Linked DNA regions of Rattus norvegicus. The protein of the gene in region 1 interacts with the protein of each later gene in a biochemical or structural test. Links are inferred from orthologs where the notes say so. Each region holds a gene or a part of one and is shown in the gene's direction. Other genes may lie near its edges.

Region 1 (3,647 bases):
ACACCAGAAGGGGGCATCAGATCTCTTTACGGATGGTTGTGAGCCACCATGTGGTTGCTGGGAATTGAACTCATGACCTCTGGAAGAGCAGTCGGGTGCTCTTAACCGCTGAGCCATCTCTCCAGCCCCTGAGACAGGATCTTAAGTATTGGGCTACTCCAAGCTTCATAGTGAGCTCCTACTTTAAAAGGAAAAAAAGGAGTCGTTTTATATAATGATTCTTCATTTGACTTCATGTTGTCTTTTATGGAAATAGAATCAAAATTAAATGGAACAAGAAGAATTTATATCGAGTTATTCCAGGCCAACAAGGACTTTGTAGTTTGACCTTGCCTCAGGAAAAAAATTCAGAATCTAAAATACTATAGGTTTTAGGTAGATTATCTCTGAAAACATGTAAATCACAATAGTGATTGCCTATGTTAAAATATTAGATATAATTGGCAATATGGACCTATTAAGTAGGGTTAGGGATATATCATGCACAATCCTTGGATTTGATTTCTAGTGCCTTACATCTGCCAGGTATGGTGACTCATGCCTTTAGGATCAAAAGTTCAAGGTCATCCTTAGTTTCTGGCTAACCTGGGATTCACAAAATCCTGTCTTACAAAAGCAGAGAGGACCAGGCATGGTTGCTCATGTCTTTCATCCCAATGCTCAGAGGCAGGGGCAGGGGTATCTCTGTAAATTCAAGGCTGGCCAGTACACACAAAAAAATAAAATTGGCTAAAGGATGTACTGTTATTGTATGTATATTTACGTTTTGTTTAATTCGTGACTTTAACTTCTTTTTTTTTTTTCTTTTTTTCGGAGCTGGGGACCGAACCCAGGGCCTTGCGCTTGCTAGGCAAGTGCTCTACTCTACCACTGAGCTAAATCCCCAACCCCATGACTTTTAACTTCTTAACTACTTAAGTTAGTTTAAAGGCTTAAACAGAGGACTCCTAAATCAACCTTTTCTATAATTTTGTGACGAAAGGCTCACAGTAATTGGGAAATGTTGAAATAGGAGAGCACAGATGCTTGCCAATATTGTCAGGACAGAATGAAAAAGAAGCATGAAAATATAGTTCAACTTTGCTGCCTTTAATTAGAATTCTAAATGTCATTCTAAGACAATATACTGTTTGTAGCTTGTGCATTTTTAGTGTATTAAAATAGTTTAATTTCTTTCGTTTGTTTGTTTGTTTCGGGGAGGCAGGGGTTCAAGACAGAGTTTAACTCTAGCCCTAGCTGTTTTGGAACTCACTCTGTAGACCAGGCTGGCCTCAAACTCAGAGATGTGCCTGTTTTTGCCTCCTGAGTCCTGGGACTATAAGCATGTACCTCCATTGCCTGGCTTCATTTTTAAATAAGGTCTTTCAGTGATGCCTAGTCCAAACTGGCTTTGAATTCACTATGTAGCATGGGCTGGCCTTACACTCCAGGTCCTCCTGTCTTGGTCTCTAGTGCTGGAATTAAAGGCATGTACCACCACTGCATGGCATTTAGAGTTGTCTCCCCTCTCCCCTCCCTCCATCCTTCCTTTCTTCCTTTCTTTCTTATATATAAGTGCACTGTAGCTGTCTTCAGACACACCAGAAGAGGGCATCAGCTCTCATTACAGAGGGTTGTGAGCCACCATGTGGTTGCTGGGAATTGAACTCAGGACCTCGGGAAGAGCAGTCCGTGCTCTTAACCACTGAGCCATCTCTCCAACCCCCCCAGAGTTATTTCTAATACTAAAATATTTACTATAATTTTTTTTTTTTTTTTTTTTAGGGGGAGATGGTATTGTGCCTGAGAGATACTTTTATGGTGTATGCATGTGTGTCTGCCTGGAGACAACACTCTTTACCTGTTCCTCTTTAATAGGACGGTTACTTTCTCAACTTGGAGCTAGAATATTTTAGCTAGTCAAGAAGCCAGCAAGCCCCAGACAGGCTCTTTCTACATATCCTTGTGCTACAGACTTGGCATAGGACACTCAGCCCTTTACATGAGACATAAACTTCAATCCTCATGCTTGCACAGCAAGGAAATTATAACCACTTAGTCATCTCTTCGTATTCTTAGTAGAGTTTCATTAAAACATTTCTGTGCAAAACTCAATTCTAATCTCCAATGCTTGAGTATGTTTATCAAATAGTAAGAGAAGGTGAATGTCAACACTAGAAAAACTGATGGCTACTTTAACAATTGATGTCTAGGTATAGAAATATATCTGTGGAGTGCCTGCAGTTTACAAGCTGAGCAGTAAGTTAGAAAGTGATAAAATGGCAAAGGCCAGGACTAGAGCTCAGAGGCGGGTCACTTACCTAGCATGTACAGTGTTCTGAGTTCAGTCCCTTGCATCTCTGAAAATAACAAAAAAAGAAAAGATGCTAAAAAACAATACAGATAAATTGTAACAGTACCTAAGTTTTTGAATTTTGGAAGTATGTCTATTTTATTTCCAGAAATATTTATATAATTTAGTACTCTGGGCAGTGGTGGTACACACCTTTAATCCCAGTACTCAGGAGGCAAAGGCAGGTTTGAGGTTAGCCTGGCTCACATAGTGAGTTCCAGGGTAGCCAGGGTTTCACAGAGAAACTTGTCCTTGGGCTGCCCCAACCCCACCCCCCAAAAAATTATTAAGTGTAGTTCTTCAAATAGAAGGTCTTTTTAGGACTCATTTTAATTTTTTTCTTTCAGAAATCGAGCTATAGCAGATTATCTTCGTTCAAATGGCTATGAAGAGGCATATTCCGTTTTTAAAAAGGAAGCTGAACTAGATATGGTATGCTTGACTGTATAATTATCATTTTTCTAATTATTCATAGTGTAGTTAATGAGTTAAGTTTTACTTAAGGTTCAGTAGGTCAATTCAGCTATTTAAATTTTGCCATTTGTTGTGATTTACTTAGTGTTGAGCTTAATTTTCCCACTTTCTGTATAGTCAAATATTTAATAATGTTTTGTCTTAAAGGTATCATTGTTAAGCCATTTTTTAAAAGATCTTTTTCTCTTCCAGAATGAAGAATTAGATAAGAAGTATGCTGGTCTTTTGGAAAAAAAATGGACATCTGTTATTAGATTACAAAAAAAGGTAACTAGATCTTTCTTAAGTCAGTTGTATTCAATGTCTACTTATAAATTTTCTGAAAATATTGCCATAATTACTAATCTGCAGATACTCATGGTTGATCTTAAAAAAAAATACATTTCTTTGCTTCATGAAAACTTTGGTTTTAAGGTTATTTTTGATACACATTAAACAGTCTAGAGGTTTAACCTTGCATTGTCTTGACTGAGAAATTGGTGCTGAAGGAATCATTTGTGTCCTTAGAACAGTGCTGTTTAGCCTGTGGGTGGCACTGCACCCCTTTGAGGTTGAATATCAGCTAACCTATAGTATCAGGTATTTATAATTCATTAACAGTAGCAAAATTACACTTAGGAAGTAACAACAAAAGTAATTTTATGGTTGTGGGTCACCAGAATACAAGGATGTATATGGTCGAAGCGTTAGAGAGGTTGAGAACCAATGCCTTGGAAGGACATAACTAATTATAACTGGAAAAAGAGCACCAAATTTGTCTTACGTGAGTCAGTCTCATCTCTGAGTTGTTTTTTTTTTTTAACCTGTAGGATGAAAGTAACTTACTATCCCATTTCTAAAA
Region 2 (4,168 bases), on another chromosome or scaffold:
CTAGTTTTATAGAACTAGAAGATTCCACTCTACTGACTAAACTTCAATCCCCATTCTTTAAAACCCACTTCTCTTCTTATGGGCTGCTTTCATGTTTTTTGATCTCTCTCTCTCTCTCTCTCTCTCTCTCTCTCTCTCTCTCTCTCCACACACACACACACACACACACACACACACACACACACACGTGCACACACACACACAGAAAGAGAGAGTTACATATGAGAGAAAATAAATCCTTTTGTCTCTCTTAGCCTAGAATACCTCACTCAGTATAACATTTTCAGTTCCCCACAATTTCTTCATAATTTTACTTTTTACCAATGGATGATTAAAATTGTGCATATATCTTGCATTTTCATTACCTATTCATCTGTTAGCAGACATCTGGGCTGTTTCTATTTTCTGGCTTTTATGAATAGAGCAGTAATAAACATGGATATGCAAGTGTCTCTATGGTAGGGTATAGTCTCCCTTGGGTATATGCCCAGGAGTAGGAAGGTGAAACATTAACCGATGTTTTACATCAGTCTAAAATGTTTTGTAGACATGTTGGGCTTGGGGACCTAAGTGCTGGCAAATTCTAGTAGCAAGGAAGCAGAACAGAGGCTGAAATTTTTCCACAAGTTAGAGGTCAGCCTGGGCTACACAGTGAGTTCCAGAACAGCTATGACTATAAAGCTGGACCCTGGCTCGATAAAACAACTGAACAAAAACTTGGAGGAGTGCCACTTTTCAATTCTAGCCTTCATGATTTCTGCAACTATTTCCCCTTGTATTATTAATTTGCCATACCCGCTGACTTCATTAAACAAAACAAAACCAAAAACAACAACAACAATAACAAAAAACAGTGTCGGATGCGCAAGCTCAAATGTCAGAAAATTTACAAATTTTTATTTTCTTCAAAGAAGGTAAAATGAAGAGTGCTGTAATTTCTAAGAAACTTGATTTGGCCTGCTGAGTCCAGCCACTAGGCAGATTAGGCCAAGGATTTTTAGCCAAGTAAAATTGCCAATTTTCTAAGAGAAAGGGCTAGCACATTGCTCATTAGAGCATTCTGAGCTTGCCTGTGCAATCCTTTTTTTTTCCTACCCTGCAATTTCCTGTGGGTTATAAACGAAACCTTTCTAGCTGTTAATGCAGGCTGTGAATTGAAGAAAAAAAAGCATGTAATTAATCATAGGAGGTTGGGGGTGTTCGCTAAGCTTCAGTTACAGGGGAGAAGCTGGACAAGGCACTAGGACCTAGAAGGCAACTATCCACCCTGGCAGGAATTTCTTGCTTGGAGCTCAGACAACAAAGGCATAGAGAGATTGGTTTTCTTTCTCACAGCATCTCCACCCAACCAGCAGAAAACCGGTGAGTGGGGCTTTCGAGTGATTTTCAAGCAGAATGTAACAGATGTCAAACGGGAGAAGCACAAGGCACACGCCTTTCTTTCTCTGTGTGTCCGCCTCTTTCTTCTCTTTTATTTGCCTTATTCTGTAGGATTTTTTTGTCCTCTAAGATTCTACCTGGGATTTTCCTTTGGAAAAGTGAGTTTGTTGTTTCTTTGTTTTCACTATGATGCTAATTTAGAATAATAGCACTTCGGATTCTAAAGCGTATCTTTATTTGCACAGCCTGCCTGGGGAAAATGCTTGCTACTCATCTTGAGGAGGTGGGGTCTTACTACTGCAGGTTGTCTGACAGAGACAATGCTGAGCTCAGCATAGGTCATGGTGACACTGGAGAAAAAGGGGGGACCGAACCTGGCAAATAGACCAGCTACCAGCCCCCTTTTATCTCCTGTCTCCCCGGTTCCTTGCAAATCTTGATGTGGCAGTGTATTGCAGCTGAGTCCTCTTGCTTTGTGAGTCTTTTTCCTCCATCTGTGAGATGAATGCTAATAGTTTGGTTTCTTGGATGTCAAGTTATTACCTTTGTAAGCGGTCGAGGCTTTGGTTATATTATTTGGTTGCATGTTTTCATTGTTGCGTTCTTTTTTATTTCCTGGTGGGGATGGGCTCGGGGGGGGGGTAGAGGGGGTGGAAATCCAAGCTTTACAGATGACCTTTTTCTTTTGCCCCCATTAATTCACCTAAGCAATAGACAAGTTTGAAGTGAATTGCCTGCTTTGAGGACAAAATGTTCTGTCAGTCAGGGGAGGAAACCCAGAACAATGAAAGGTGTCCTCGCTTGTAAAGGTCCCATATGCTATTCAGGGACTCATTTGGGAATCTTTCGCCAATTATTTCATTAAGAGATATCGCTGCATTGGTCGGGGAGGGGATGAAGCACCTGAAAGGAGAAAAAGGATTCTGTGATCAAATGGAATCAAGAGGAAAGCAGAGCTAACAGCTTGCTAAATAACTGGTTTTTTGACAATCCCTCCCCCCTTTTAGACCCCAGCCTACTTCTTATGGATGCGGTATAGCAGCACCAGCTTGATGGAGAGAGGGTTTGATGAATAGCACAAAGACACTGGGTATTCCCTGGAGGCTGTCCCTTTAAAAGAGAATCCTAGTTTATTCTGGGGGAGGGGATACACATATTAGAGCAGGAAAAAAGGGACTGGAAATAAAACTAATACACCCCCATACTAGTCATTGTCCTGGGTTGTAAAGACTGCTTCCTATGCTGGAGATGCTAACCTTGGCTAGTTCCCTCTATTTCTCTTTGAGGGGATTTTGTCAGGCTATGGATTCATTTACAACTGTTAGTCATGTGGCCATGTGTGAAGTAGCAGATGCCAGTTTTAATGTATTTTGCCCGAAGTTACAATTTGATAGGAGCCACTGTCAGGAAGCTCCAGGTTTTTAAGCTGTTTCAACACCCCCTCCCAAATTTGGAACAGTGCCAGAAGTGCCACCCTTTCTATCTCTTTCTCCTATCCCCCTTCCCACCATTCAGTCCTCAGTCCACTGCCCAGCCCCCTCCTTCTACTCTATTAAGATCAATATTCCTGCAGGTCAGGGACAAGCAGCAGATGGGTCTCAGGCTTTTTTCAACCAGTTCTTTTCACAGGCAGCAGATTGCAGCTCTGGATCTGGCTAATATTTTAATTCTTTTCTCCCCTTACCCTTCCTTATTCTTTGCCTCTCCTTATCCCCGCCCCTTTTCCTAACAATCAGGTTGCTGTGGTTCCACCAAAATATGGAACTTGATTTTGGACATTTTGACGAACGAGACAAAGCATCTAGAAATATGAGAGGGTCACGGATGAATGGACTTCCAAGTCCCACTCATAGTGCTCACTGTAGCTTCTACAGAACCAGAACCTTGCAGGCATTAAGTAATGAGAAGAAGGCCAAGAAGGTACGTTTCTACCGCAATGGGGACCGTTACTTCAAGGGGATTGTGTACGCTGTTTCTTCTGACCGTTTTCGTAGTTTTGATGCATTGCTGGCTGACCTGACTCGATCCTTGTCCGACAACATCAACCTGCCTCAGGGAGTGCGCTACATTTACACTATTGATGGATCCAGAAAGATTGGAAGCATGGATGAACTGGAAGAAGGTAATTTAAGTAGCGAGTAGTGGGTGGTAGCCCCTGGAGGGAAAGGACATCCCTGCTTCTGGTTATACTTTTAGTCTTCCTTGAAAGAAACTGGCTATTTGTTTGCCAAAACATCAGGTTGACGGATGGCTCAGGCTTCTGATCCCAAAGACACCCTTAACTGTCATTCCTTGTGGGGTTCCATCTCTGCTGTGGTTGAAATGTATGTGGGTCTGCTAATGCTAAATGTGCTTATCTGCCTAGGTATACAAAGGGAAATCTGAATTGTGACACTCACTCTAGATAGTGTTCATAGGTAACCCTGGGTAGCACCATTAGAGCAGGCCACGAAACCATTAGGGGAAGGAAGAATGTATGGTTGGTTTAACAGATAAAAATTGTGCCCACATTTCCTATGAATCACTGGGAAATTATTTGGGAATTGCCAGTCATTAGAAATACATGCCTCGATATAGGAATCCCTGGATATGTTCGCAGAGGATTAGACTTTTAGGTAAGTGGTTGCTGCTCAGCTGTTGCTTTGGAAAAGCTCACTTACGGGCGTGTCCATGGGGCTGAGATCATTGGGACAGATACGAAGGAAAGCTGTAGGTATGTCTGGTATTTTAATGAACACCATTTCTATTAAAGTAAGAATGAGTCACTCTGCCTAAATCCTTTCAGATC

Evidence for each region. The genes of interacting proteins can lie anywhere in the genome.
Region 2: the proteins of Pafah1b1 (region 1) and Dcx form a complex in vitro, tested with the Homo sapiens proteins (2 studies listed by BioGRID). The link is inferred for Rattus norvegicus from reciprocal best matches to the Homo sapiens genes PAFAH1B1 and DCX.

Annotation. Positions count from the first base shown.
Region 1 is NC_086028.1:60,048,598-60,052,244, reverse strand, and holds part of Pafah1b1 (platelet-activating factor acetylhydrolase IB subunit alpha), read left to right. Parts: intron 1-2,679; coding exon 2,680-2,764; intron 2,765-2,998; coding exon 2,999-3,073; intron 3,074-3,647. UniProt on the Homo sapiens protein: Regulatory subunit (beta subunit) of the cytosolic type I platelet-activating factor (PAF) acetylhydrolase (PAF-AH (I)), an enzyme that catalyzes the hydrolyze of the acetyl group at the sn-2 position of PAF and its analogs and participates in PAF inactivation.
Region 2 is NC_086039.1:112,301,312-112,305,479, reverse strand, and holds the start of Dcx (neuronal migration protein doublecortin), read left to right. Parts: upstream 1-1,318; 5' UTR 1,319-1,362; intron 1,363-1,373; exon of another isoform or gene 1,374-1,538; intron 1,539-1,658; exon of another isoform or gene 1,659-1,855; intron 1,856-3,116; 5' UTR 3,117-3,138; coding exon 3,139-3,502; intron 3,503-4,168. UniProt on the Homo sapiens protein: Microtubule-associated protein required for initial steps of neuronal dispersion and cortex lamination during cerebral cortex development. May act by competing with the putative neuronal protein kinase DCLK1 in binding to a target protein.